Lepisosteus oculatus: one gene and its partners. The protein of the gene in region 3 interacts with the protein of the main gene of each other region in a biochemical or structural test. Links are inferred from orthologs where the notes say so. Each region holds a gene or a part of one and is shown on either strand. Other genes may lie near its edges.

What was found.
Region 1: the proteins of rps6ka1 (region 3) and magi3a interact in a test that uses a peptide from one of them, tested with the Homo sapiens proteins (2 studies listed by BioGRID and IntAct). The link is inferred for Lepisosteus oculatus from reciprocal best matches to the Homo sapiens genes RPS6KA1 and MAGI3.
Region 2: the proteins of rps6ka1 (region 3) and erbin interact in a test that uses a peptide from one of them, tested with the Homo sapiens proteins (2 studies listed by BioGRID and IntAct). The link is inferred for Lepisosteus oculatus from reciprocal best matches to the Homo sapiens genes RPS6KA1 and ERBIN.
Region 4: the proteins of rps6ka1 (region 3) and ptpn3 interact in a test that uses a peptide from one of them, tested with the Homo sapiens proteins (2 studies listed by BioGRID and IntAct). The link is inferred for Lepisosteus oculatus from reciprocal best matches to the Homo sapiens genes RPS6KA1 and PTPN3.

What each region holds. Positions count from the first base shown.
Region 1 is NC_090700.1:34,829,269-34,837,169, reverse strand, and holds the start of magi3a (membrane-associated guanylate kinase, WW and PDZ domain-containing protein 3a), read right to left. Parts: upstream 3,010-7,901; 5' UTR 2,866-3,009; exon of another isoform or gene 2,735-2,865; intron 2,251-2,734; 5' UTR 1,002-2,250; coding exon 695-1,001; intron 1-694.
Region 2 is NC_090698.1:27,933,517-27,941,344, forward strand, and holds the start of erbin (erbin), read left to right. Parts: upstream 1-4,825; 5' UTR 4,826-5,124; exon of another isoform or gene 5,125-5,426; intron 5,427-6,185; exon of another isoform or gene 6,186-6,425; intron 6,426-7,065; exon of another isoform or gene 7,066-7,087; intron 7,088-7,828. UniProt on the Homo sapiens protein: Acts as an adapter for the receptor ERBB2, in epithelia. By binding the unphosphorylated 'Tyr-1248' of receptor ERBB2, it may contribute to stabilize this unphosphorylated state.
Region 3 is NC_090706.1:11,002,543-11,009,560, reverse strand, and holds the start of rps6ka1 (ribosomal protein S6 kinase alpha-1), read left to right. Parts: upstream 1-4,002; 5' UTR 4,003-4,617; coding exon 4,618-4,680; intron 4,681-7,018. UniProt on the Homo sapiens protein: Serine/threonine-protein kinase that acts downstream of ERK (MAPK1/ERK2 and MAPK3/ERK1) signaling and mediates mitogenic and stress-induced activation of the transcription factors CREB1, ETV1/ER81 and NR4A1/NUR77, regulates translation through RPS6 and EIF4B phosphorylation, and mediates cellular proliferation, survival, and differentiation by modulating mTOR signaling and repressing pro-apoptotic function of BAD and DAPK1.
Region 4 is NC_090705.1:23,825,705-23,833,640, reverse strand, and holds the start of ptpn3 (tyrosine-protein phosphatase non-receptor type 3), read left to right. Parts: upstream 1-4,922; 5' UTR 4,923-5,033; coding exon 5,034-5,085; intron 5,086-7,403; exon of another isoform or gene 7,404-7,697; intron 7,698-7,936.

The DNA of each region.
Region 1 (7,901 bases), on a different chromosome or scaffold from region 3:
GTGCCACAAATCTTAAAGGTATCATCAGTAAGCGGGGTAAATACTACAATATATACCAGCATACAGTTGTCGAATGTATCCTTTTGCGCTAGTACTAGTAGCCGGTTTTTAATAATACTGTACGTGAGGGGGTTTTTAGAGAGAGCTAGGGCTTTTCGATAACCGCACGAAGACGCAGTGCGAGTCTGAGGGGTGTTCACAATATTAACTAAAACCCTGTCTTGAATCTCAGTCCAATTAAACAGGACTGCGTCCAGCGCAGGCTGGCCTTGCGACACCGGAGAAGAACGGCCACTGACCCCTGACTTGGCTGTAGCAAAGTCCGTATTATTACATGTTCCACTCTGTTGCATAGCCGTTCGGTCAACAGGCCCTCATGGCAACAACTCGGTACAGGATCAACTTGAGACAGAAAAGGCAAAACACTCAGAGCGAGATCCATGCAATATCTTAACCACAGAGCATGAAATTAGCACAAGTTTCCAAATGCAGACTATAATTAATACAACTAGACCGTGTTGTTAGTTTAAAGAATCCAAATAAAAACTAATAATGAGCATAACCATAAAGGGAATAAAACTGGGTTATGATAGGGAAACGATTAATCACTCGCACTGACAAGAGGACAAGTATATTTGATTTATTGAAGAAGCGTATAAAAATGCGAACAGTTCACTTAGTGATAAAAACTCACCTGGCTTGACGGTCTTCAGACGAATCGGCTCCCGAAAGTGGCGGATAACTGCAAGCGTGTCCCTGTTCGTGAGTCCGCTCACCGGGGTTCCGTTCACCTCCAGCAGCACGTCCCCGGGGCTCGGCAGCTTCCCGGAGTGACAGACAACCGCCTCCAGCTTCACCTGGCCCAGGTGGGGGAACTCGCCGAGCTCCGCTCCCCCCAGGACCTCCACCACCGAGCTGAACTCACCGGCGCTGCCCCAGGACACCGCGCACTCCTGAACTTTGCTGGACCAGTGTTTCTTCTTCCTCAATGTTTTGGACATGTTGTTTTACTCCCCGTTAAAAGCTTTCAAAAAGCAAAGTCGCGTTTTGTTTGTTTACTTGATTTTCTAGTTTCCTACGACACGTTTAAACAAAAGATTAGAATTGCATTATGTTGATTGCGAAACGAAGTAAGCCTCCTGTTGTCTCTTAATTCCATTCCTCCAATAGTGAAGATTTTAATATTTATTTTATTTATATAATTTTAGCTACGGATAATCATCTGTGCTCCGACCGTCACTCATTGTAAATAAAATGCTATCATTCAAGCTTGTGGCTCGCTGAAGCAGCACGTAAATAATCCAGCCTTCCCATTTAAAATTTCAAATTGCAATGAAACAAATTAAAATAATATTATGCTGCCAGAAGATCATTATTTTCAATCAGTCGTGCATGTCCGATCCTGTCTATATTGATCTCCAGCGATGCTTCTCACGGCGTTGTGTATATATTCTTAGACATAAAAAAAAACAATGAATAAATGCAAATAGCTGATTTCTGTACTCCAATGAGCAAATGTCCTATCCAAAGAAGGAATTAACAATCGATCGGCTCAGTTTCTTGTCGCTGTTTACAAGGTAGTCACTGGCCTCAACCTGATCAAACGATCTGATTAATGAATCGGACTGCTGTCACTACGCCAAGTCCACGCAATTTCTTTAACAGTTTCGCCGGAATTCCAAAAGCACCTGCAAACTATATCAGCTGGAGGTGTAGCAGGGGCATAGGAAGAAAACACTTCCAACTTCAAACTGAGCTTCACGTTATTATTGCCCCGCGTCTACAACAAACCTTCCGTCACTCGCGTCCAACGCACCTGTTCGTTTTTAACTTGGCAGCAGCCGCATTCCTGTGAAATGGGCACGGCCGGCGCAGGCAGTGCTGTTGTGTGTAATACTCGGAATGCCCGTGTGTGTGTTTTTTTCCGGAGGATTGTTCTCAATCTGTCCCACAATCCTGCTGAGCACTTTCCACCGTGGCGACCGCACCGCCGCGCATCTGCCTCTTCCAGCAAGCGGCTCCGGGTTCGCTAGCTCAGTCACAGCGCCGGCAGCCTCCCTCCCACGAGCCCGGAGTGGGAAATGATTCCAGAACTTTTTTAGTCATTTTCACCTTGTTAGTAGTGCTGGGGTGGGCAAGGCGCGGTTGACTGCTGTTGTTTCGAACCAATCGCGGAGAAGGATGGGGAGTAAAAACACTGGGGGCCAGCCAATGCTAAAAACAGCTGGGCGGGTCTTCCGAGTTGTTACCCTGTAACACAGAGAGATAGCACGGCTAACCCTTTGAGTGCCGACCGTGCACTTCGATCCTCATGCTATTATTATCATGCTCATCACAGGCGAACACGGTGCTGCTCACCGAGTACAAGGACCGTATCGTGTTCCCTCTATCACCCTGCACACATTTCTATCCAGACTCTTTTTAAGAGGAGATCAGTCTGGTACAACGTCAAAATGAGATTCACCGGCAGGGGAATTTGAGCAAATATTTGGTCACTGGTCACCGCGATAATTTGCTAATGTTCCAGAAATTGTCTCACTTGTTAATACTACTCCGGTACTAATATTTGTAAAATCCGCGTTACCTGTCAGTCCTTACCTTTCCCCTAAAATTAAAAGGACACTTCGCAGCGACTAGGTTACTGTGTTCTCTCTCACCCCACGCAACACTTTTAAAAAATTCTACTCGACTACACAGTATAGGTTTAAGTTAGCAAAACGTTAAAAGATCGCACCTTGAGAAGACAGGACAGCAGAAGAAATACGACGTTCTGCACCACAGGTGAATGGCGAGCCAAGAACCGGAGGCTTTTCAGTGCTTTTTTGTATTAAACCGCAGGAGGAAGATCGTCTTCCAGACACCTACCACGTTTAATAAATGCGCTGTTGTCCGCAATTCCACCGACTCTCAGCGGAGTCCTTGTTATTCAGTTACTACACAGTTAGACAGCAATACTAACACTGTTGCCTTAGTCCCGCATCAGGATACCTAAGGAAGTCCTGTACTTTGCGCCCCGAAGCGTCCCATTATTTCAACAAGAGAATTTGCGTAGACCTCATCAGTACAGACCTAACTGGACGCTTACGCTATTGCTAGCACTGCGTATTTCAAAAGCACGTATAACCCCAGTTTTCGACAAAGAAAACTCATCATAATTCATAACAGCAATGCAAATGCCTCAAATTCCTGTTTTCGAAATATATTTTTTATAATCAGTACAGTTTACAGGCGGGGAAATGGAAATAATGTAAATGTGTTATCTGCTAATGCGAAGGTATCGTAGTGTCTCGAGCCTGCCATCTTGTGGTGAGGAACAGCAATGGCAGCCTGATGTTCATAACCTCTAACACTTCACGAAGTACGAAGGACATTTGTCATTACATTACTCAAGGTCGACATCATCATAATATCCATCTTTCAAACAATGCACAGCATTACTGCAAAAATTAAAATATACAAATACTTAACTTGATTACGATTTTAGCTCTTTGGATTAACAGCAGCCGCAATACAGCAGTCCTACACAGCTGGGTACACTAGCCTCTATCATGTGGTGACGCTCTTTTCTGGACATTACACATATGGAGAGGAGCACTGCCAGTTTATATAACGCTAATGCCAAGACTGGATGGCCCTGGTCCACTGCAGCAATTGTAGTCTTCAACCTGTTGTGTTACTTATTTTGAATTTAATTTGGTGTAAATCTTGGGTCAATTCATTTTTTTATATATCATATAATGTAATGTATTCTAAGTCTTTCATTCTAATATCATTCTAAGTCTTTCTTACCTTCTGATTACCTACTGTATATATCCATTCATACACCGTTGTCCCGCTGTCTACTCATTCAGGCATGTCTGTAGCACCAGATTCCCCATATCTTTAAAAAAACATAAGGCCTCTGACCTGAACCCTGAACCCGAGACAGAGGACACAGGAAGCCAACAGCTCCTCCACTGTCCACCTGAGCTCTGGCAGCGGGGATCAGAGTGGTGGAGCGTGTTAGCATGTCCCAATGCCATTGTCCATTAAGCCCTCTGCCGCATGGTGTTCTGCCCCATTAGGCATCACAGTCGCACACTGTCAAAGAGCTAGGACGAAATCCAGCTCAAGGGCCAAGTGACAAAAGTCTAAAACTGATTAATTTGATCTACATACAGACAGCTAAAGGCAGAGGGAAGTCAAAAGGCTTGTGACGGAGTCGAGGACTTTCCTTTTTCCACACATTGTACCGTTCATTTGTAGAAAATAATATGTAGCGGGCTAGAAAACATGATCAAAATGCACCAGTTTTGGATGATATTCCCTTCATTGGCTTTGTCAGTTCCTCCCGCCTTGTGCCTGTTGCTTGCCCGGATAGGCTCTGGCTCCCCCACGACCCCTACCTGGAAGAAGAAAATGCAAAAATGGGTGGCTTTGTCCATATCAGGTATCCCGTCAGGCTCATAGCCCCCCTTGTAATAAGGATTGGATGCTGGAGTAAAAAAAATGTAAAACAGCAAAATAACTATACAAAAAGCCAGCAGCCATATCACCCTGCAAATCACAACTGGCAACCCACTGAAACTAAGCAGGTGTGAGCCTGGTCAGTACCTGGATGGGAGACCTCCTGGGAAAAACTAAGGTTGCTGCTGGAAGAGGTGTTAGTGGGGCCAGCAGGGGGTGCTCATCCTGCAGCCTATGTGGGTCCTAATGCCCCAGTATAGTGATGGGGACACTATACTGTAAAAAGGCGCCGACCTTTGGATGAGATGTAAAAACCGAGGTCCTGACTCTCTGTGGTCATTAAAAATCCCAGGGCGTTTCTTGAAAAGAGTAGGGGTGTAACCCCGGCATCCTGGCCAAATTTCCCTATTGGCCCTTACCAATCACGGCCTCCTAATAATCCCCATCTATGAATTGGCTACATTACTCTGCTCTCCTCCCCACTAATAGCTGATGTGTGGTGAGCATTCTGGCGCCCAGAATGGCTGCCGTTGCATCATCCAGGTGGATGCTGCACATTGGTGGTGGTGGAGGGGAGTCCTCATTACCTGTAAAGCGCTTTGAGTGGAGTGTCCAGAAAAGCGCTATATAAGTGTAAGTAATTATTATTATAAAAAGAATATCACCGCTTTATTACAGGGCATGCACATTTCCAATGGCTGTGCTTCGAACCTCTCAGATTCGTCAGTCAAAGCTATACTACATGAGCAATTTGAATTACCTGCAGCTTAGCATTTGACTGGAAATTTGCATGGCAGAACCAACCAGAATCAAAGCCTGTCTTGACAAAAAAAAAGTTAAGAAAAAAAAAAGTCAAACCGCACGGTCCTATAAATTAAAAAGACACTAAAGTTACAGCATCAAGCTTTAATGTGTGCCAGGCGGCTGAAGGTGAAGCTGATTTCTTTTCTGAAGCTCATTCAGATCAAACCTGATCCCCATTTAGGACTGTTAAATGGAATCAATGACATTGCTAAAATTGAATGCATTTATTCAGTCAGCTTTTTCTACCTCTGCACTCAGTCCTGGTTCAATAGCTGGTGATCACGAGGTTTGTATCCCTGCCAGCTAACACTGGACCTAATCTGAAAAGGTTAATTGATATTTTAATTCGTCTCAGCCTTAATGTCTTCTTGTCAAGTTGGAGAGGACTTTTCTTCAATTTGTGGTTCAGTGGGATTTGCTGGACTTACAAATGTGACAGGACTGTGGCTGCAATGTTTTCACCCAAATGTAAAAAGAAGTCACTCGGAGCACATATTCCACTGAATATGCTTGGCTTGTGTTAAAGGAATCTCAGTTCTAGAAAAATGACAATGTCTTGGACATTTGGGATACCACCAGACCTTCCCAGTCTTGGTTGGGGGCTGTCTATTACTTTTTACTGCCGCCGATCTCTCAGTAATTTAACAAAATTCTTCATTGCTATGATCGTTAGCTTAATTATACATTCCTGCTACTAAGAAGGTGTAGATTCCAGGCTAGATTAAAATATGAAGGGTGCTTTGAAATCTCTAACCACAACAACTTGAGAACAATGAAAAACATGTCATTACACAAATGAGTAGTTCAGTTAAATATCCAATTAAGTCACCGAGATCAAGCTGGAATGAAAAGAAGAGTGAAGGCTTTTGGCGTCACAGGGAACACAACTGGCCAAGCCTGGTATACTTTCTCTCTCTCATCTAGACCAGTTCTCAAAGGCCACTGATCTCATTATTGAATTGAAGTTGTCAGCTGCTAATCGAAAAGCAGCTACACCCCCTACACCCCCTCAAGGACTGAATAGGCAGCTGCAGTCCTGAAGAACCTAAGAGCATTCTGGTTTTCATTCCACCACAGATCTTAATTGCTTCATTGAAGACATTATTTGCATACAAAGTCCAATCGCTTGTTTTATTAGGTCTCTATCAATTACTAACTGAAAACTACCTACCCAATCCTGCATGGATCCCACCTTCAGAGATCTAGACCACGTTCCTTACTTACAGTACTAGAGAGCACCAGTCAAGCCATTGTCATCTCTTATATAACCCGTCCTGCATAACACAAACACACAAGAAAGGTTTCAAGAGAAAGGAGGCTGTTCAGCCCATCTAGCTAGTTTGGGAGTAGAGCAATAAATTGGTCCACTTAACAAGTCAGGAGATTAAGGGCACAAGTCGAAAGACAATCAGAAGAGCCTCAGCCCACCAAAGCAGTGCTCTACAGACTTCAAACACATGTAATTACTGATCAATTAAGTACATTACATATTCAATTAAGTAGTGCTTGAAGACTGAAGTGTGTTCGGGTGTTAATTCAAATGCATTCATTTCCAAGGTACTTAAGGTATCAAATCACTTTAACTGGTCACAACATTGTTGTTCTAAGTCTTTCGAAAGTGGTAATTTGAAGAGGTGAAAAACCATGGCCCAGCAGGTCTTACAGGGAAATCACACTTCACAATAAGCACGTAAAAACAATTGTAATTAAGACCAATAACTGGTGGGATTAAATCATCGGGAGCTCAGGTAGAATGACGAACAGGGGTGCGTTTAGCACACCTTATAATCTTGATAAAAGTAAACCAGTCATAGACTTTATGTTTCTGTTCACTGTAATCTGGATCATTTTCGGTCTGTTTCAGAAAATGTCACTGCTGTGTTCTATTTATCCAGATTACAAGTATTGCAATTACGAAAGCCAATTTTTGGAGCAGTTCTTAACTGTTGATCAGGCCTGACAAAGATCCAAAAAAGAAACAGAAAAATTAGGTACATTTCTACTACACAGTATTTTTTGTTAATCTGATAACATAAAAAGCAGGCAATTTGCATTCAAGGTTCTTGCACAGATAATACAAATATTTTTTTAATTATATGTATGAGATATGTGCAAAGGTTTTGGACTTTGTTTTCCTCATCCCTTTGATGTCCAGCAGGTCTAAAACAACCCCCTAAGCATGAATACACATGCTTAAGTTTGTTCCAATTAGTTCTATTTTTCTCTTTCTCTTCTGCAACACATTTCAAATCACTTGTCCATTCACAGCTCAAGTCATATATTGATTGTTGGTTACATCTGATGTAGACTGATAGGCCCACCTCTTTCTTTCAAGAGACCTGCCAAACCTGCTGGACTTTCCCACTGAGGGACAGACTGTCTAAATCCATTGTTTCTCCTTGGCATGATTTTGTTTTTCCCAACCAGCATTTTAAGAAACTGAATTCTGCAAGGATGTGGGTTCTTTAAGACCTGCTGCTTTATTTCAATTATTTTAATCCAGCATGTTAAAATAAGGCAGGTGCTGTTTTTTTTTCGGTTCAGGACAGCACTTCTGCATCAAGATGTTCTAGTTCTATCATGGCCCAGCTCTACTGAAAGGTAGCAATGACACATCTGTCAGCAGTGACAACGGGTTACATGATGCTCAT
Region 2 (7,828 bases), on a different chromosome or scaffold from region 3:
GCTATCAGCAAGGCCTGCAGCTTGTACACTCCCCTCTTGGCCAACTGTGCGATGCCACATAGGGAAACCACACCCAGCTGTCTCATAAACCAGTAGTGAATGTTCGTCAACAGGTCACAATCCGTGGTCCAAACCACACATCTGTACTGTGTAAGCCAAACAGCTCATCTTACTTCATCCTCATTTTTCCTTTGTTGCCTCTTTGACAAAGGATAGTGATACAAGCAGAGCAGGATTTTGGTGTTCGTATGCCCCAGGCACTTTTGCTCTGAAATGTGCAAAAGGAGGGGTACAGTAAATGCCAATTGAATTACGTTGATTGACATGATGCACTTTAAACTTTTCTAATGCTAAACCTCATGATTGAGCGAGTTGAGCAAGTCGAGCGACCATCCCTTCTATACTTCTAGTTTCTAGAACAGCAGCTAGATAGCATATGATTATTAATTTGGAGCACCTATAGTCGGTCGCAAGCATGTTGTTTCAGCTTGTTTTTCGCTAGTCACTAGGGTCTTCCTCCTTTGTAGGCCCTAGGCACTGTGCCTAATGGGTAATCTGGCACTGGATACACGTGTTTTCAAACCAGACATTTTTGGCATGTCATAAGTGAGTGATAAACATCTAAAAACATTATTGTTTTGTAATTAAAGTGGTAAATTAGGCATTATAGTTAGGGGCACTGGGTTCATGTAAATGAGTTTATCTGACGTTTAAACACAAACGGTACTCCAAAGGGGTCACAACTGGCAAACAAACCCATTTCCACTATGTGCTGACTGGCACATACTACAGCACCTTCCACTCATTTAGGAATAGTTAGGGGGGCAGTTAGTACCCACTGACATAGAGATGCAGAACTGCTTTGCAATTTAGTCCTAAATAAACTCAAAGCTGAAGACTACCCTAAGGAATGGATTGCACAGTGTACAATATGTCACAAAGAGCTAATCAACACCCTACGCAGACGATAGAATCCGGAAGGGAGTGAAACAAACATGGGGGAGAGAGGACTAGGAACGGGGCTGGTAGATGAACTGGGGGGGCGCGTCGACGGTGCACTGGTGCTCGGGGGACGTGGTTCAGGCGAAAGTCCAAGGGGAGTCCGAAGAGTAATCCAGAGTGAGCTGGGTGATCCATCCATGAAAGACACGACAAAAGTTAAAAACCGGAGCGGGATCCGGTGAAGGGACAGGGAAATAGAAAGGGGTAACGGGTCCAGGCGCTCCAGGCCCCGGACCCAGATGGTCAGGACACCGCTGCGAAGCCTATGCTGTTGGGCCACTCCTGGACCTGCTGGTAGGCGGGCTTCCGGGAGTCCATCTTCCAAAGTTGAGCCCAGACTGGTAGGAGCGTCTGGCTTTTAAAGGGAGGAGCTGGAATAGGAGGCAGGTGCAAAAAATCAACAGAAACAAAAAAGAGCCGAAGAGCCCTTAAGAGGAGGGACTTACGATCGTGACACAGTAATCATAGATGGGAAAGCAATCTTCTTTATTTTAACAACATTGTGGAAAATGTTAACTATTTATTTGTAAGAGTAAGGACATGTCATAGGTTTTAAATAAATACTGGCATTTAAAAAAAAATTAGAATCAGCATTGCATCAACTCAATTTAGATTAGCCAAGGGCTTTTCCCATGGATAGGCTTGTAGCTCCTATCCACACAACTGCACACAGGGAAGACTAAGGAAGTGTAGGTAGATACATCCGAGCCATTCGGTTAATGCTTACTGATCAGTGCAAACTGGAGGAGGGGCACATCCATCTGTGCACCCACTTGGGGTATCCTGGTTCAGTCTCCTTCCGACATGACCCGGTCTCAGAGCTCAGTGGCCTTTTCAAAGGCAGAACGAGGGATCCAATACCTAAATATCTTAAGAGACAATACATGTTGTTCTGTTAAATTCTATTAAAAAAAGAAAGCAGTTGTTTAGTATACCCAGAATACCCCAATTATTTAGGATTGTCACTGCAGTCTGGGCAACACCCCACACTCCACTAGTAATCTTAATTGTGCACAATTCCCCAGAGAAGCACTGTCTCCAAGATGACTGAGCTTCACCCCAGCAATATCTGAGCCACAAAAGTCAATCTGCATTCTAAACGGGTCTTTACTGGTTGAGCCGCCAGTGTCATTTAGACCCATACAAGAGATTTATTGGAAAACTTTAATGTAAACTGTTTATCTTCGAATGAAAACGGAGACACTAGGGAAAGATCAGAACAGAAACAGCTTAAAAAAGAACCGGAGTTCCTGGCACTTTATGGAGCAGTTAAGACTAACGTGTCTCTCCGAGACCGGACAGTTTACTGCATGTATAGAAATCGGAGGGTTTTACAAATATTGACGTATTTTCCAGGATTAAGTAAAAATCCAATAAAGTTTTTCCTCTAAACAAACGCCCGGGAATTCCCATTTTGCAACCAGAACTAGTATTACACACATCCCTCGCTGTTGCCATTAGGACCAAAAATGTCAGCTCGTAAATGGAAACGCGTAAGTGACAATTACCATTAAAATAAAATGGGGGTTCAAGTCTTCGATTCATTTCTAGTGCTCCTATCAGAAAACGAACCGACGTGTCTTGGTATTTTCCTGCTGTTTGTATTTTCGAACCATAAACTGCCAAGTACATTACAACGGGAATAATTTACCAACACTTTTTATGCAAGCTGTTATGTTTAATATTAGGAAGCAATTATGTGGAAGGAAGATTTGCATGACCTATATAGCACAAATGAACAATACGATATGAACAAAATAACTGTTAGTTATACCTTGTACAAAGAATAAAACTCTTAATTTTATTATTAAGACATCAAGCTGTCTGGTGATAGACACCGTGCACGCATAGGGGGAATAATCAAAACAAATAATTTAGTTCTATAGCATGTTAGAGTTTGTGAACCGATATTATTTACAAATTATACATTAGAAATATTATCCTACACCATATATGGTATAAGGCATTACAATTTCTGTTAAGAGCAGCCAAGAATAAACATGCTATTCTAAGAATAAGACGTTTAACTCGCACAACAAAAACGGGTCTGTGTACCACTTGTTTTAGCGAGTACTCTAAAGTAAAATAGTTTAACAAGGAATGAGTGCATATATTTCTTGGGATCTTTGCACCGTATGCCTCCCGTCTCCAAGTTTTGGGGTACACCGATCTCGTTCCCATCTGTTGGGCATTTATTTGTCAAGCCAAAACGCGTGATAACCCCTTTCATATTTCTCCTTCTCTCCCAAAAGAAATAATCTTTGCAACCAAAATCTCCGATAATTGCGCACCTTTCGGATCGACGTCGTTTCTGTCAGAGGTTGGGAGACAGGGAGAACTCGATTAAAGAAGGGCCAGACTCAAACTATGAAACCAGACTACGTTAAATCTAATGACTCTTGAAGGATACTGATGTATCGCTTGACTGTTTTTAATAATAATAATAATAATAATAATAATAATAATAATAATAATCATCATCAGAGAGGAATGCAATAGACATCTGATACTAATTGAATCGTTTATTTATTTTATAGGCACGTACATGTATTTTATTAAAACGAATTGCAGCTGCTAGGAGTTTATCGCCCACTAGTGGCTGTATATACATGTCCTGACTATTTTCCACACATCGCTCTTTGAGAGACTTAGGTTAAACATCAAAATTCTTCGTTTTAAAAATAGTAATAAATTATGGGAATAATGAGCTGCGCCGTAAATAATTTATTACAATAGTTTTGCGTTTGTTTTAAAATAAAACAATGGTGCCATGGGATTTTTAATGACCAAGTAGTCAGAAACACTTTAACAACAGTTAGGATTCACGTCTTACAGCTCCCTACTGTTGCCATTTTGTTGAAACTCTCAATAGAGGGATGAGAGAAACCTGCTTGTCCACCAGCACCATTGAAATCCGCAACCTATTTATTCTTAGTTCAGGTGGGTAGTTGCGCCAGCATGCGTAGGCTGCAAAGGAACAAGTAATAGGTTTATTCTATGCTGAAAAGAGAAGTAAGAAAACACGTTTCGGCTGTGGAGCCGAAATTTTCAGATTTGAAAAGCCCATAAAGTGGAATGAATCAGGCCATAAAGTGGAATGAATACATCAGACCCTACATGATTAACTAGTCCAAGACAGAAGATGTAGATGGGCATCATCGTGTTTAGTTGGATTCTGGTCGATTGACTTGATTAAAGTCATCCTGTTGCAAAGTAGATGCAGGTGTTTTGCCGTGTGATTTTTATTCACATTTCGTTTGGAAAAACTGGTGTGCACAAAACATACACCAGCAGTGCCTCGGATAACACACGCTACTGTTTCACAGTCGTATATCGTTTTATTTGGATTGCACAACATGTTTTTAAAGAAAATTTAACTATTTCATTATTTTGACATAAGGAAATAAAGTAAGGATGCCCAAAATCAAAACAAAGCTTAACACGCTGTTAGGCGACACAATTAGTCAGTTCCTGCTGACATTTCTAACTTTTGATTTCATTCTTACAGCAACTGAAAAGGAGGAAAACAACCAAACATGCTGTGTGTTTTGGGGGTCCCGCCTCCACACTGGGTATTGGCGGTCTTGCTTTATACATGGTAGATATGCAGCTAGCATTGGTTGTACTGTACTGCCCGTCACTATGTTACCTGATCTCGAAGTCAGACTGAAACCAATCAGCCCCAATCAGACTTACCTAGGCGTCTGGTCTGTGTTGCTGGGCTGTTGCTGTGCTCGGCTGGCTGGGACTTGATCGCTGCCAGAGCATGAATTACGCCGTACCGGAGTGCAAGTTGTGCTGCTTGCTTGCTAGCTCTCCCCGTGTTTGTGCGTGAATTTGTGGCGAATCTGTTTGTACATGTAGCCTTTTCACATTAATGAGAAGTTGGCGGGGGTGTCAGATTTGAATGCATATGGGTGCGGCGTCCCCTTTTCAGAAAAAAAGGCTTAACAGGATTTGTGTTCAAGCTTGGGGTTGAAAAAAGGAGAAATACTCGTCTTCTGGAGCTGCGCTGAGCGGTGGACATTTTTTCGCCTTTTGTATACTTGCGCTTTGTGGACATTTTGATTTTTTCTTTCTGATTGTCAGGCTTGAACTACTAAAGTTTTTTCAATTAAGGATGTAAGTAATTTTATTTTTTTGTGCTACCCTGCTAACAGGAAGTTACTTCCCCGAAGCAAAAAAAAACCTAAAGTACACGAAAGACAACTTTTGGCGAGAACACTGCACTTGGAGAAGAAGCACAGTCAATGTGATCAGTGTTTTGAGAGCTTTAATGTCATATGAGTGGATGGATGCAGTAGAGGTTTTTAAGCTATCTCGCCTAAGACGATTTGCACCAAAGTAAACAAAACAGTGGATTTAAAACACTTTCGGAGCTGCAATTTCAATGAAAGAAGGTGTCTGGAAACCTGACGTTTAAGGTAACATATGTGTACCGCTGAGTTTGTTTTAATCAAAAACACTTAGAAGATGGGGGGAAAAAACAACAAAGTTTGATCTAGATATCATTTGACCTCGGAAAACTCGGAAAGGGTTAAGGATCATTTTAACCCTGTTTCCGCCCACCCCAGTAATGTCGTTGGCTGGTGTGTGAAATGGTGGTGGTAAACTTGAGCTGGAATCCGCAGCCACTGGAGGTTTTAAAGGGGGCAGACTGGAACAGAGGAGCTATTGTTTAACTCCAGAGACTCTGGACTGAATCTGATGTGACCGCTGTCTGGATGCTTTCCACGGGGGATTTTTAATCATCAGTGTATTTACTGTAAACCCCCTTTGTTTAATACTACTAGTATTACTAGCGCATCCCAAATGTAGTATCAGATGCGTCTCTATAATAAACACGTGAAAGTGAGGTAGATCTTTGGATTTTATTAATTTCTACTAGTATTTTCGTGTTTTTGGAGTCTGTGTAATTAGAAGGGTAATTCTGTATGGTTTTATTTGTCTCGGTTTGCTCGCCTCTATTGGTAGAACGAAACAAAGCCACAGCCACAGGAGCTGTCAGATATATTAATGGGTATATATATAATTTGCATAATACAGTACTGCTGTAATTTTACTCTGTTAAATTACGATTTACGCCGTAAGAGTACGTTTTGAGTAACCCCTTCCTTTCTGGTCTTAATGTTTTGTTGGAGAAATATGCGGAAATTTACAGAGCACCAATGCCATTTAAGTTGGCATCACTTCCTGTGTAGAATAATTTTGCCAGGTAAACCTTGTGTTTTGTTCAGATACGTCTGTCTGATGAGAGCTGAAAGGATTACTTTCGATATTTTCACGTTTTAATAAGATTAGGCTAGGGATTTGGTGTTAACTGTGCGACCTCCTGTATTTGATCTTATGGGATGCAAAGGAGGAAATCTACTGTACGACTCGAGGGGCATAAAAACATCCCATCCGTTGTCTTACTTAAAACGGTAAATAAGAAGGAACTGAAATCGATCAATATGCTTTTGATTGTCGAACTAAATTTAACATAGATAAAAACATTTTATATTGATTGGTTTATAAACCTGATGTTGTTGTTTTTTTTGCTAATCTGATCCTCTGTGGTTTTAGTTTCGTACATTTTTTTAAAATTTCGATTTACCAGCTTTGCGAAATTGTATTGAAAACCTCAGTAAAACTATCTTCCCCCTGTTAATCATGCTGGAACAGGATTTAGTGCGTCAAGACAGGTAGCAACAATAAAAAAAAATACGATGAGCAACCTAGGATGGTGAACCAGTTAGCCATTGGTTATATGGCCAATTTGTTTTGCTTTGGAGCATATTTAAATTTAAAAAAATGATGTAGATGGTTTAAACTAGTGCTAGTTCATTGAATGCAAAAAAGCCGAGTCGTTAAAGATTTACAAAGCCCTGCGGACGCTGTTTTTATTAGAGGACAGTGATTACACTATAGACGTGGATCAAAATGGAAGCTCTTTAACATCTTATTGATGTTTTTTCGCCATTTGGATAAGATCTAGTTATTTTCCTTGGTATGTGCACAGGTATAACCGGCTTCCCTTGAATTTGGTGTAACCTTGCAGCGGAGACGGAAAGAATCTGCTAAACTCGTTGACACAGGTGTTGGTGTGAGTAGTTGGTCTGCCTTTCCTCTTTTCACCGTCACAGGTGGAATATAGGGAACATTAGGCCACGAAATGGTTTCATTATTTTTCTCAGTGTAGATTAGTAATTATAATAGTAATTAGTAATAAAAGAGAAAATAAAAAAACAGTTCTTAATGCATTTATATGTAACGTGACGGTTATTTTTCCAGTATGCTTAAGTCTTCTTAAACTCTTTTTGCATAGTAAAAAAAAAAAGGTCAAATTAATGTTTTGTTTGAGAAGGAGACTCGGTCACTGGGATGATTCTTAAATGAAGACTTGTTCTTGTGGGCACTGCAGTGGTGTAGTGGTTAGAGTTCTATGTCAAAGCTCTTTGGATTAGGGTTGAATTCTGGCCTGGGGCTCTTTCTGTGTGGAGTGTGCATTTTCTTCCCATGTCATTACATGCTGATTAATTTGCATAGTTAAGTAAAGTGTGTGTGTGTGCGCTCTGTGATGGACTGGTGTTGGTGGTGGGGGACTACACACACTCAGTGTCTGCTGCTCCCAGCTGTCAGTCCTGGTCTAGGAATTACCTCCTTCGTTTGCTGTTTTTTTTTTTAACTGGACTCTTGGGTACCCCTAGTGATTTGTGAGATTTGTAATCGGTATAAACCCTGTGCAAGCCAGCAGCCATATCACCCTGTGAAGCCAAGCAGGGTTGAGCCTGGTCAGTACTTGGATGGGAGACCTCCTGGGAAGCTGTGGTTGCTGCTGGAAGTG
Region 3 (7,018 bases):
GTAAGGTAACCTCTCATTAATCACAAATTGTTTAAGGCTTTTAGAAAGAGCTGATTAATGGCTACTTGTAAATCCTGCTTATTAGGGACTAGCTGAACATATACAGTAGCTTTGCTAATATTATTATTTTTTTCAACAATAATTTTCTCCCAGTTATCACACAAATGACTTGAAATCTTCCACAGTATTTTATCCCTAACTAACCAGTTTTCTGTATTGCCCTGTTTCCTACATTTATCCTGAAAGGGTCTCGGTGCAGTTGGACCCCTACCATGCCTGTGGGTGTATATTTTCAGTTTTGACATGCAAAGAGGCAGCCTCACTTCTTCCAGTCAACACACAAAAAAATTTGAATTTATTCCAGATAATACTATTTGAAAAAGTAACTGCAGAAACCTGACAGAGAGTCTTATTAGCCCAGTGGCATTCAATAGTGTTTCCATAACAAATAGCATTCGATATAACTCACATCATTTCTAGTCTGAAGTGAGGAGCCCGCAGTACACATTTATGCTAGCTCGTGGCATAGCCCTGGGAATCCTGATCTGGCTGAGTCATAACCCTCATGCGAATGAAGATCCTGAGATTCCTCGAGGCTTTCGGTAATGATGGAATAATCTCTCAACATCACTGAAATTCTGTACTGGATTTCAATGTATTTTTGAAACACAAAAATATTAGTTTGGTGTAGCATTGGCGGCACAGTGTTAAGCATTGTTGCCTTATAGTGCCAGGGCCCTGGGTTCAATTCCTGGGGTGCTGTCTGTGTGGAGTTTATATGTTCTCCCTGTGTTTGTGTGGCTTTCCTCTGGGTGCTCCGGTTTCCTCCCACAGTCCAAAGACATACTGGTAGGGTAACTGACTTCTGGGAAAATTGGCCCTGGCGTGAGTGTGTGTATCTGTATCTGTGTGTTGCCTGCGATGGACTGGCATCCTGTCCAAGGTGTGTCCCACCGTGTGCCTATTGCTTGCCAGGATAAGCTCCGGCTCCACTGAGATCCTGAATTGGAAGAATCAGTTAGAAAATGAAGGGACAGAAGATCAGTTAGGTCTCACTGCGATTCATTATTTCATTTTTGTCATTCTTTTTTCTTCTGTGCAATTTCTGCTCAGACCGGTTTGCACTCAGCTCTCAAGACTCGAGAAATATACTTAATAAAATAACGTCACAGATGGGAGGATACCGTTGTGCCAATCTGTCCTATTTGTTGCTAACAGTTAAGTTATTCTGAGGGTCTCGTCCAGTTTTCATCAAAGAAGCCTGGTTATTGGCTTCAAACCCATTGCAGAATACCTTGTTCCTGACTCCCACAACCTGTGTCAGAAAGGTGCATCCTGTCCTCATGTGAATTGCACTTGCTTGTGCTCTGATTTGTGTGTTACTGGTGGTCTAGTCCACTGGGGTTTTGGAATTCTTGAATCAGGTCCCTTCGCAGTCATCTCTGTTCAAAATGTAAAAATTGTGAATTGTGAATTGTGGGAATCTACAACACGCTTCCCAGGCAGGTGGCTAAGACCAAAGCTCTTGGCATTTTAAAGAACAAGCTGGATGAAATCTTAGTTTAAATTTACTAAACTATCAAACTCGGAAGTTGGATATTTGATATTGCTTGCATTCTTTCTTATGTTGTTGCTTAAATTATATTATGTTAAAATATTATTTTAACTTTTAATTTTAAGTGTATAACATTCCTGTGTATAAGACCAGGGGACCAGGGATGTACTGATCACAAATCTAAATGTGTTATTACTAATGTATTGTACACATGTAACATAATATCCCTTTAAATTTCTCTTTGTATTTTTTAACTGCATATAATTGCATATAGTTCTCCCGAGTTGTCTATATTAAATACCAGAAGGTGTTCCACCAGGTTTGATTTTATACAAGTTATTTTTTCATTTCCTCTGCTACTTCTACAATCTTTGCTCATCTTCCCATTTTCTTATTTCAGCTGTGAACTTGACTAGTTTACTGACTATATGCCAATCAAGTTAACATAGGAACTTTGCTGATTTATGAAAACTTTGGACTCTGTTTTAGTAGTCATTTCTCCATCCAAACACAAGCAATGTGTTTGATCTGAGCATTAATCCTTTTATTGGGAACCTCATAAAAGGGCTTTTGAAAATCTAAATATAGAATAAAACGTGTTCATCTTTCATCCATTGCTGGTGTTACAGTACTTCTCCAAACAACTCTAAAGTGCTTTAGTTAGCAAGACAAACCTCTTGCAATCCATGTCAACTATCCCTTATAATCCTACTACCATACAGTCAGTCCTCTACTGTAATCTGATTATATTCTCCATTGGCTTGGGTTCCTTACTCTTCTTGTGAATGGGTGCTATATTTCAATTTTCAATATTTCTCTTCTCTTGAGAGATTTTTGTTAGCAGTGTATAATAAAAACCACTTTCTTTCTTTAAGTATGATTAATAGAATAGCAGAAGGCCCTGCTATTTATTAATGTCTGCCTAGTGTGCCTACATTGTCTCTTTTATTATAGAGCTTTGTCTTTTCTCAGCCTGAAGGGTGTTGTTGAAGATTATTCCCTGGCATTCTTCTAGCATCGAGAATCGACACTATTACATTAGCGAAGATGTGATGTCACAGATGCAGGAGCTCCGGAATTTCTGCAGAACCAGAGCACATTGCTTCAGTGAGCAATTTCCACTGGTGAGGATCACCATTGGAAATGTCTGGGTGTTAGCAAGATCTCTCTTGCTCTACATCATACTGCTGGCTAGGGTCCTGTTATTACAGCACGTTACTGACACCAGTGATGTGACTCTTACCCTCGAGTAAGCACTCTAAATTATTTTCTGTTGTAGCAGTTTTATACAACTACTACTAATAATAATTGTTAATATATTTGTTATATTAATTTATTATTAAGGATTAATTTTGGTATTATATTTTTTATTTAATTAATGATATTTAAGCAATACACAATTATTACTATTAAATAATAATAATAGACTCTTAGTAGTAGTAGCTGCTGTAGTTTATCATTAGTAGTAACAGTAGTAGAGGAGGGTAATTTGGTTTTATTCTTATTCACTCCTAAGGACAATGTACTGTATAATGAGGGAACCCAAAAGTGTCGACGGGAAGCACTTTCCTGGGCGACAAATCGTGATCGGCAGCTCACGCTCAGAAGAAAAGGGGGAGACGTGCTTCACCAATTGAATCACATTGGAAGCGAAAGCAGGAATGTTATTGAAGAGCCCCCTTTATGAATGTATGAATTTCAAATGGTCTAATCTTTGAGGATTGATTGCCAACAGAGGGCCCCAAAGGATTCGTTTGTTCGTGAGAGAAGCTAGTGAGCGATAGTTCGCCTATTTTTTTTTTAATATCGAGGCAGGAAGAAAAGCAGTGTGTTATCATTAAAAAGAGATCCGAACCGGTGTGGGACTGAGTTGTCCCCCGTTTCTCTGAGCTGTTCATTCATTTCTTTAAAAGACGGTGCTCTCTTCCACTGCTGGCTTCTGATGTCCAAGCCGGGGATACTGAAATCTTCCCCAAAACAGCTACATTTCTGAATGAATGCAATATATTGATTAATATTTCACTAAATTAAAAAATCCACACTTCACAAATTGATGGTAACAGTTAAGTTGCATGCTATTGATTTTTAACACGCGATGAAGGCAACATTAAGTAAATATTTGTAACTAACATTTTTGGAAATTAGAATAATACATAGATTTTATACGGAGATATTTGAAATATTCTTTGGGAGGGATTCCGAAGACTGGCCACTATCTTAAAAAAAACAAAGTTATTTGAACGTTTTTATTTGTTTAATTTAAAAATAAAATAAGAAAGACTACCATCTCCGGACTGGCGACATTGCAAATACCCTCTAGTATTCCCCTGTTATCTCCCCCCATCAATTCAGTCGTAAGGAATAGCTGTCCTCGCTTGCACCACGTCTCCGCTAGAGGGCGACAAACGGCCCGGACGAGCCGTGAAAGGGGTAGGGTGAAAGCTGGCTGGAGGCTGCCAGTTGCGGAGTCAGAGATACACGGCGCTGCGCTCTCGGTTCGCAGCGGAAAGCGTCTGACAACCTGGGTTAAGCTCCATGCAGCTGTCGTAAAACGCCTGTTTGGAAACAACGCATTGCAAACCTCTGGGAAACGATTTGCGAATTTATTATCCAGAAAGCGATTCCTGGGGCGTAAAGACCCAGGGCTGCTCAGGTGCGAAGTGCCATCGACCTTGGAGAGCTTCGGCTACATTGTTTCTTTCTTGCAAACCTGTACGTACCTGCCTAGAAAGAGCCCGCCGAGTCACACCGAAGAATCATCCCCTTGCTTGCTCGGGCTAACACGGGAGACTGTATCCGTCTGAAGCTCGCAGGAGGACAAGTGGACAAGTGGAGACGCCGACGTCATTTTTAAAGGGGGATCATTATTGTTTGTAAACGACTGGGTTATAGAGGAGCTGCTAGGAGGTTTTGCCAACAGATTCCCACGGTAGGATCCTGTGAGCGAGCTTTCCTGCTAGCAAGACGTGGACTGCAAAAAAAAAAACCTCGGGAGTTCTAGCTCAGCCTGGCTTCATTAGTGTAACGATTTCTACGGGTGTTTGGGAAGATACGGTTTCAGGATGCCACTCGCACAACTTGCAGACCCATGGCCCAAGATGGAGCTTGTTCAGCTGGAAACCGAGGTAAGAATGCAGCCGGTTCGCTTGGCGTTGTGAGTCAAGTGTCCCCCCCCCCCACTTTCCCATTAAGTGCTGTGGAAGCCAGGTAGGCACACGTGGGGAAGAGGTTACAGCACTCGAGGAGTAAACTCCATAAGTTCTTAATTTAGGTGTTATGAAGTAATGGTTGCATAACAGCAGAGCGTTTCCTATAGCACTGCGATAAAAAAAATAGATTGAGTGGGGGAAATAAAAAATATTAGGCATTAACAAGTTTTAAAGAATTTAGGAGAAGATGTAAACATTTGAGCGCAGAAAGTTTGAGGAGTATGTGATTTTGCCACAGTTAACACCGAGTCCCAGCAATGTATATTAAAGTTTTGTGAAAAGTTTTACTTTGTCTAGTGTGTGAATACATTTGAAATCCGCTTGCTGCAGAAAAGCCTGCAGCAAGATTCATCCAGATAGTTGTACTTGCCACTACCATCCCAGGCTCATCACACGCCTGGTTCGAGATTGCATTTTATTTTTTTCTAATGTAACCTTTAGCATTAAACAAGTTCTGTTGTTGTTGTTTTTTTCCACTGAAGCTCGACCCGTTGATAGAGCAACTTGGGGTTGTCGGTTGTACAGTAAGTGGCAGAGCTGGTGCGCTCTTCTGCAGCCGAAAGTCCAGATGTGTCGAATCTACAGGTGTCTAGAACAGCGAGGTGCTGTAGGAATGACGGTACTGAAGTATAGCGTTAAATCGAATATGGACTAGGGACGATTAGACTGAATTCTGTTGGTCCTGAGAGCTGGGTTCCTACCTACATATTGTATACAGAGCCGTCCGCTGTACTGGGTGTGGTTATTCCTTTTAAAGGGGTGGTGAAGACGACTGCGTTATCTGATTGACGGTGTCATCCTTATATTTGTGAATCGGTTTGAATCACGGCCCCTAGTTACAAGTAAACTCGCTAATCTCTCAATTCCCTTCTCCTCCAGTCAGTGTTCTTGGCAGCCTCGCCAGTGTGTCTAATCGATGATCCGTTTGACTGGCCCGATTGCTGCTTTCTTCCTGAAAATGCTTGGGAATGCAATGAAAATGCTCCAGTATTAGTGCTGGCAGTCAGTGTGGCTGCTATGCTTTCCAAACAGAGCTTTTGGGACTGCACAGAATTATCTTTTAACAGCCGTAGACTAGTCTTGACAGACGCGGGGCAGAGAAAGAGCCTATTTCTGAGTGTTTTTCCCCTGTGTGTTTATTGCATGGGCTCCAGCTTTTCTTTTGTACGGCCTGATCGACGGGAGCTCTCAGCCTTTTATAGTAAGTGGAGGCGGACAGGATCGTGACGGAGGGCGATCACCGCTAATAAGGAGCCAAGATTTTAATTACCCTGAAGTTCACAACTGTGATTGCAACAAATAATGTGAAGGAGGTTGTGGTTGAGAAAAGGTTGTGTCTTTGCTGTACAGTAGGCTGCACATCCCCTGTAATATTTGTCAAAGCATACAGAGTCCTCAACGAGGCTGTTAGATTTTACACTATACTGATCGTGGGATTAAAATTCCCTTGATTTCTGGGGACCCCCTGGATAGTGTCAAAGACGCCCAGGTTGACAATTCAGTTCTGAAAGGTTTCACTAGTGATGATGAAGGTGTATTTAGTGGGGCACATTGTTGGATGGGTAGGTCACGCCTTTCCTCCTGGTGCAGAAGTTCCATACTGTTTGCCAAGTAGGGGACAATGTTACGGTTGGAGCCAACCTTTGGATGAGTTGACCTTAAGTTTGAAAATGACCTGGCTTCTGGTAATTAAACTAGATAACTGGAAAAGTGCAGAGCTCCTGTGTTCTGGTAGAATTCATTTCAAACATTTTCTGTGCCCCCGTGTTAAATGAATTGGCTGGGACATCCCAGCGTTATCTACCTTTTGTGCTGTCATTGAGCTTCTGGTGTACAGTGACTGTGCACCTCAGAGGAGAGAGGAGAGAGGGTTGAAGTACAGTACCCTCCACCCAGCTGCATTATGTCTGCAGAGTGCAAAGTGCCTTTGTTATAATTCTCAGAGTTATTAACTTTGTGGCAGCACAGTGGTGGAGCTATTAGCAGAGCTGGGGCCCTGGGTTCACTTTCTGGAGTGTTCACAGTGGAGTTTGTACAGTATGGTGTTCCTGTGTTAGTGTGAAATTTCTCCGGGTGCTCTGGTTTCCTCCCACAGTCCAAAAACCTGCTGGTAGGTTAATTGGCTTCTGGGAACATTAGCTTCAGGAGTGAGTGAGTGTGTGCGTGGCCTCTGTTGGACTGGCCTCCTGTTCAGGGTATATCCTGCCTAACGCCCATTGCTTGCTGGGATAAGCTCTGGCTCCTCTGTGACCCT
Region 4 (7,936 bases), on a different chromosome or scaffold from region 3:
TTGACTTGTACAGTATGTGTTCTGGTCTGTCACCAGTGTTCGTATGCTGAACGACCTGGTTATGCTCATTAATGCATGTGTCCTTCATGGTAAAGCATAAAATAATTAACATACTGTATAAGGCTATCAATGTCTATTAATACATTTTAGTGTGAATGTCAAAGTCCTAATCAGCAACTACTCAATAAGAAAAAAGCAGCAAAGATAATATAGTGTTTAGTGCTTTAGGCATTTTTGCCTTGGTAAAAGCCTTACAGACATGGACTTTCTGTATTCATTCTGTAGCATTTGGCACAGTACTTACTCACAAAGCTGCAGGAGCACAAACATGTATAGAATAATATTATAATGTTGTTAAAAGTAAATTTGACAAATACATAATACATATGTTATATTTCTGTTGATGTGATGAAGTATTGTGAATTTTTGTTCAACTAGTTTGAGCAAGAAATTTAATTTTTCACTAAAATCATCCTCATGAAACCAACATATACTTGGTAAGATTAATTGAGTTGACACACAGTCAGCTTGTTATTCACCAAGTGAATTATGTTAATCCACATGATGATGGGTTTTAATGTAGTGCTTTTTTAACATACTAGCAAATCAGTGTCACATCAAGTGTCCACTGGATATCCAGTCTGAACTTCATCCATTCAGTAGAGAATCCAAAATGTGTATCTAGCAATTACTAAAGAATGTTGTGTTTGATCATGCACTGCATACGTAGGAAACCCGTGGGGTTAACAAAAGAATGACTGGTATAACAGGCAGCAGGATATTTCATAACTAAGGCATCTGAATGTTTGATGTTTGTGACACTGTAATCAGATTGGGAAATAAGTTCTAACTCCATTACATGATACTGTAAGCTTGGTATTCAGGTCCTCTGGGTCCTCCCTTCAACAGAGCATCTGGATATCTGTGAATCATTCACTGTTTTAGACCAGGGGAAATGCTAAATCAGTCCCATTAAGTTACAGTAGGTCATTAGCAATCCAGGTGGAGGTAAAACCAGAAGATACATTGACTCTCCAATGCTCTCCAGTTACTGTGGAAAGAGCAAAACACACTGTTGTTCAAACAGCATGCAATGGGGTAGTGTGCAATAAAATGGAAAAGTTACTGAGAAAAACTAAGGTTGCTGCTGGAAGTGGTGTTAGTGGAGCCAGCAAGGAGCGCTCACCCTGCAGTCTATGTGGGTCCTAATGCCCCTGTATAGTGACGGGGACACTATACTGTAAACAGGCGCCGTCCTTCGGATAAGACGTAAAACCGAGGTCCTGACTCTCTGTGGTCATTTAAAATCCCTGGGCGTTTCTCGTAAAGAGTAGGGGTTTAACCCAGCGTCCTGGCCAAAAGTTCCCATTGGCCCTTATCAATCATGGCCTCTTAATAATCCCTGTCTATGAATTGGCTTCATTATTATTATTATTATTATTATTATTATTGTTAATATTATTATTATTATTATTATTATTATTATTATTATTATTATTATTATTATTATTACTGTAAACGTTGTGTTTCTTCACCATATTTTGAACTAATTCAATACATCCTTAACTGAAGTTTATCTTAGAGGAAAATCATAGATGCAATTGAGAAGAGGAAATGTGTGCCCAAATCCACAACAAAGGTCAAACATCATACCACATTGCTGTGGCAAATATATTAGTTCATTCTATAAAATGCAGTTCCTTGCAAAAGTATTAACATTTGGTCATTTGGTTGCTATAAAGCTTAAAGTCTTGATGCTTACATGTAGCAATTAATATCTGTTATATATTCCTAACCTTCATAACAAAAAGAAAGAAATAAAAAAGATATGAGAGAAAATTGAAAAGTCATAACTCTATAATTATTCAAAGACTTTGCAATGTGCAAACTTAAATTAATTTAGGTGCACAAAATTACCTGAATGAGTTTAACAATTAGTCGAGTTTCCTCTATCAGTGTGCAATAATAGTTGTTCATATTATTTCAGAATAAATACACATATTTCTACAAAGTCCCTCAGTCACATAGTGAATTTCAAGCAAAGAGCTTGAACCAAGAAGCTTTAAAAAAATTTAAGGATGAAGTTGTAAAGAGGCACAGATAAGGAGCAGGGTATGAAAAGATTTCAGTGATCCTTAATATCTCCTTGAGCATGTTAAAGACAATGGTTAAGATGAGGAAGATTAAACTGGTTAGAGATGCCACTATGAGGCCAATAGTGACTTTGAAAGAGCTACAGAGCTCAGTGGCCGAGATGGAAGGAAAAATGCATGAGTCAACATGGCAACATCTTGTTGACTCATGCACTTTTCCTTCCATCTCAGCCACTGAGCTCTGTAGCTGTTTCAAAGTCACCGCCCAGCCACTCCACAAAACGGGCCTGTGCAGCACAGTGGAAAGCCCATCTCAAGTTCTGCTTGGGGTTTGCAACAAAGCACCAAAGTGATGCTGAAAAAGATTTTGTGGACAGACAAAACAAAACTGGAACCTTGTGGACTAAAGGTAAAATCCTACATGTGATATAAACCCAACAGACTACATCACTCTGCAGTCTAGCATAGTGGTAGCAGCATTACATTATACTCTAGTTCTGCTTCTCATCAGCAGGGACTTGGAAGCTTATCAAGAAAGATGGAACAAAGTACTGGCATATCTTAGAGAAGAACCTGCTCCAGGCCAAAAACTGGGGCAAAAAAATTTCCTTTCCGCCAGACAATGACCAAAAGCACAAGTTCATATTTACACTAGAGAGGTTTAAGAAAAAGAAAGTAGATGTCCTTGAGTGGCTTACTCAGTGCCCTGACTTGAATCCTAATGAGAACCTGTGGAAAGGCTTGAAAGCTGTTATGCAATCCGCAAGCAACCTGAGAGTGTTTTTCCAAATCTGCAGAGAGGAGTGGGCAAAAAAATGCACCAAGCCAGTGAGCAAATTTGGTAGAAATGTTCTCCAAAGCACTTGTGGCTATAATTTCTATGAAAAGTGCTTTTACCAAGTTGAGATCATGGGTCTGAATGCTTATACTATCAACATATTCCATTTCTTTTTCTTAATATTTGATTACATTAACTGTTGCTTTTCTCACCTTTTGGGTTTTGCATTACGTATTATTGTAAAGGTAAAGGTTTATTCCATGCTGAAAAGAGAAGAAAAGAAACACGACATTTCGGCTGTATTTTTGGCGTAGAAAATAATGTGTCTGCATCATTTTATAACTTCACAAAATGGGACACCATAGGAAGGTTCTGAATATTGTGACAAGACACTATTTCCATGATTTCGCAGTATCTCAGAAATTATTCCTTTTGGAGCAGGTTCCTTCAGGAAAGATTCCTCTCATTAGTACAAGAGGAGATACACGTATGGACATAGTCTGAAAAATCACACCCATTTCATCCATGGATAACTGAAGTGTTCATGAGAAAGCAAAGAGGGCACACAGTCAGTCACATCACAGGACTCAATCACATAACTATCTAAGGTGTACATGTGGCTTGTGAGTCCTGAGCACATTGAAATCACATTAGACAACAAAACATATTTGTGTAAGGAGACTTTCTTTTCAGACATAACCTGTTATACTTACTCTGTACCTTACCCTTACCCTGTGAGTCCCTTTATGTACCAAATAAATCTAAATTAAATATAATTGTTGGACCTTCAATAATTAAGTAATCAACTCTATCCATGTGAACCTACTGTACATACAAAAATAGAGGTCTTAACAACCTCTAGTGGTGTCAGCAGAAATTACTACCTTCATTACTAATGGTCTGTCACAGTAACATATAATAGACACTTTGCTTTTTGTTATCAAACATGGTCACAAATGCTTTACATAACATGTGACATAAATAAAATAAATAAACTTCAAAATTAAAGAGTGATGTCAAACAAAAACTCTCAAAACGTGCTTTACGTAGGGCCAGGAAGATGTAGTAAATTGTACATCCCAAGATGTGAACAAAACATTTCATGAACCCAACAAACTTGGTATGACTCAAGGTTCTCCAATTTCAGGACCTTACTTAAAGTTTATAAAATGAACAACCTAAACATTAAAATAAGACGTCTAATCAGAACGCAAGTCAAAGTTGATCTGAAAATGTGACTGATGAGAACAAATTAGCGTGGTAAACTACAGAGATGTGTCTTCAGTTTAGAAGAAGGAAAGGGTGGAGGCCTTTGTTACAGTAATTGAGTTTCATATCTATTGCGGCACCAGGGCTGAGTCAGTGTCACTCAGCATAAAACAGCCCTGCAACAGGTGAGGAAATAGCACACTGTCCTCTGGGATTACATTAGCGCCACAACATAGATCATGCTTTTCCAAAGAAACCAAAGCAGCTTTGGTATTCTCAACACAGAAGTTTCACGTCTACTCTTGATACCTAGCTACAAGTAAATAACACATATGCCAAACAAGGACTAAACATAAACCTACAGCTGTTGGTTACCTAGGCTCATGTTCAGATAGAGAAGATATTATTGGTTGCATGTTCAAACATTGGAAAAATATCTAAGCCTCTGCATCACTACCAATACAATCATGCCACAGTGCACAAACAACTAAACGTGTTTCATTTTCAGTTCATGGACAATATAAAGTTTTCAGAGAATACAGAGGTAGGGTACTGTTTAAAAACCAGATGGTACATATTTAAATCCCACACTCTTCATTTCAGGAGGGAAATGATAAGTTCTTATTCATTTCAACCTATTTCCCAGTGCACCAGCATAGCTATTACTTCAGCATGTGTTGTTTTCCAACCCTAAAGAAGCAGGCTAGACATTTTAGGAGCCAACAGAAAGGGTGTGTGCTTTTAATTAAGCTGTTCTTTTGCAATGTGCAAGGACCTGTTCCTCTGGTTTGTACTGGAGAACTAATATACGAAAAAGAAAGGAAAGAAAAGGAGATTGGATGAAGACAGCCTTTTACTTGCTGTGCTGTTTGTACATCCTTGACTTTGATGATTCTATGCTGCATGGATTGAATAGCGAATAAATTGAGGATTATAAGATAAAGCAGGAGGCCATGGTGGAGGACCAAGGTGTGCATCAACAAGCCCCCTCACTGGAAGAAGAAGGTGAGTTCATTCCTCATGTATTTTGTCTTCTAGTAGCCAGCAGTGGTGTTCAAACACTAAAGGGTTGTTTTACTAAAACATGTGGACAGATGTCCATGTGGACAGCAGGTTGTCCACCATCTGTGCTTATAAATGTGAATACTCTCATAGATTTAGTTACATTAACATAAGGTCTCGAATATTTAAAGCACCACAACATATTTTGGTTATAGTTAAATACATAAAATTAAGTAGCACTGATTGGTGAAGGCTATGTAAGACCTATGAACTTTACAGGGTATAGACTAGATGTTGTTTAGTATTAATTTTTAGAATACATATTTGTTTAGAAAAAACTTTGTGTTAATCATAGCATTATGATTTTTTTTTCTGTGATATGAGTAAAATACAGGCAATAGATGTCTGTCCTGGCTTTAAGGGTACAAAGTGCACTTTCTATCTTTACAGGCTTCTATCATAAAAAGGAAGCCATTATAATTTATGGTCCTAAGAATACAGTATGGGAGTTTTAGCTAATCTTACTCAAATTTAAGTAAAACTACTTATGTACAGTATATGGATAAAACTGATTATTCTTTACGACTCTTTACTTACTAATGATCTAATACGCTCTACATGTATACATGCATAGTAAGTGGGAAATGTTTAAATGTAGCCCAGCATTTTGCAGTAATGGCTTTGATTGCAATGTAAAAGTGATTGTCAGAAAATGGCTCAATAAATCCTGTCATATGTTTTACCTGTCTATCGGTGAACTCCCAGTAAAGTCAACTAGGATAATTGCCATCATTTGTACAGGGGTGCTTTGAAGTGATCTTAAATGGGCCTAACTGTGTTTTGATGACAGTGATAATAACTTCAATGCAGAAGCAGATAATTGGTCTCCTTGTTCATGTCTGCTGGTGAGTAGCTGAAAAGGGCAAGTGGTTCACAGCGGCTAATCACTCTAATGTAGCAGAATTACTGCTTTTTATACACCATTTAGGTAAACATGAATTTCATTTATAATGCCACCCTTTTTAAAGCTGGAACACAGTATGTGAGATGTGGGACATAATGTACACAATAGAGCAGTCAGAACAAGTCTTCCCCAGTGAGCCTTATGGTGTGCAAGAGTTATATGAAAAAGTAAACAAGGAAAGCATAAAACAGGACTCTTTTTGTGGTAGAAATTAAAATTCCAAGGTGAACATAGGAGTTTAATGTTATTAACTGTACTAATTAAAAATAAATGCTTAAATAGTGCCTGTATCTAATTGGTAACTGTGCAGCTTTTGCTCCTTAAGTAATCAAAACTAAACATTTTCTAACACACCCACACACACTAGTATTTACTGTATGTGTGCAGACACTCAAACTGAATTTGGTATTGTATTGCTTATAGCTATTTTCATAATGACTGTTTCAGATCTGCTAAACTATACTGTACTCCATTAATTCAAATAAACTCCAAAAACGTTCTTTAAAATTATCATTTTAATGTACAGTATACTATGTATGCCCAACATTTTCTATAGAAGAAAGTATAAACTGTTCTAAATAAAACAAAAGAAAAATCAAAGATCACAGAAAGAATTCCAGTTTTCTATATTGATACCAATTTGCAGAAACACCCAAAATGTAATTCACGTTTATAGAAGACAACACCCTTCGGAAATGCGTTTAATAATACACTTCCAAAACCACTTTGAAAAATGGCAGCATTTACATAACATTGCCGCCAGGGGAGCCCCTTCTACCTTCCACCCGTTCTGTCCTGCGACAAAACAAAATCTCATACGATAGTTGGATGAGTTTTCAGAAATTTAACTTTCTTTTCTTCAAACACAATCATGCCGGGGACTTTTGGCGATTATTATTGGCAAAATATTGAGAAAAAAAATCAACAACACCACACGTAATCATCGCATGTTTCTCTGAGGGAAAGTAAATGATACATGTTTATTTACATCCTCATACAGCTACATACGTAGGTAGACAGAATTTAATGTCCAGGAAACAGCAGGAAAAGTATTATTTTTTTGTAAGCAGAAAGGTAACAATTAAGACAAAATATTACAGAAAAAATAAATAGTAATTATAATTGCGAATACAGTCAATCTGTATAGTGACATATTTGTACAAAAATACCATAATTGTTTTATTGTTTTAAGAAATTTAAGTTATGCATAAACACAGACTCTATTTCCACGGACGCTATATGATCTCGGTTATTGTTAGGTTGTATGTTCTACATGACATAATGCTTGCCTAACCGCTGATTAATGTCCAAAATCGAAACTACAGTAAAACAGGGCGCAGTCGACACCTATGCGAGCAGAAGCTTTTTTTTATTCCAGCCTGGAATCGCTTCCAGGTTTCCGATAAAACCCGAAGATTGCCGATCAGCACTTGTGCCATCGGGAATCCCGAAGAGAGGCGGAGATCGAGTATCGCAGCAGTCCAACAAGAAAGGGAGCGAGGGGGAAAAGAACAGTGCTTCTCTTCCTGGTCATCCGTCCTGCCGACACCTGTCTTTGTCTTTGAATTGTACGGATACACAAACTGGGACGAACGGTTGTGGCACATGTAAAGAGAAGAAAGGCAAAACTGCGAGAATCTGGATGGTTAAGGTAATAACACAGTGCCACACACGGGCTTTTTACTTGGGAAAACCTGCAAGGTAGTAGTGTAGTCATACGGCTCGTTTAGAGCTACTCCCAGTTAAATATGAGGTGTGTGAAGCCTTGTAAAGATGACTGTGATAGCAACGTAAATATTTACAGTAATGAATTTCAGTACAGTTCGACAGCGCTGCCTGGATTCGTAGTTTTGCTTGTATCGCTGACATTGGAATGTCTTTTTGTTGTTT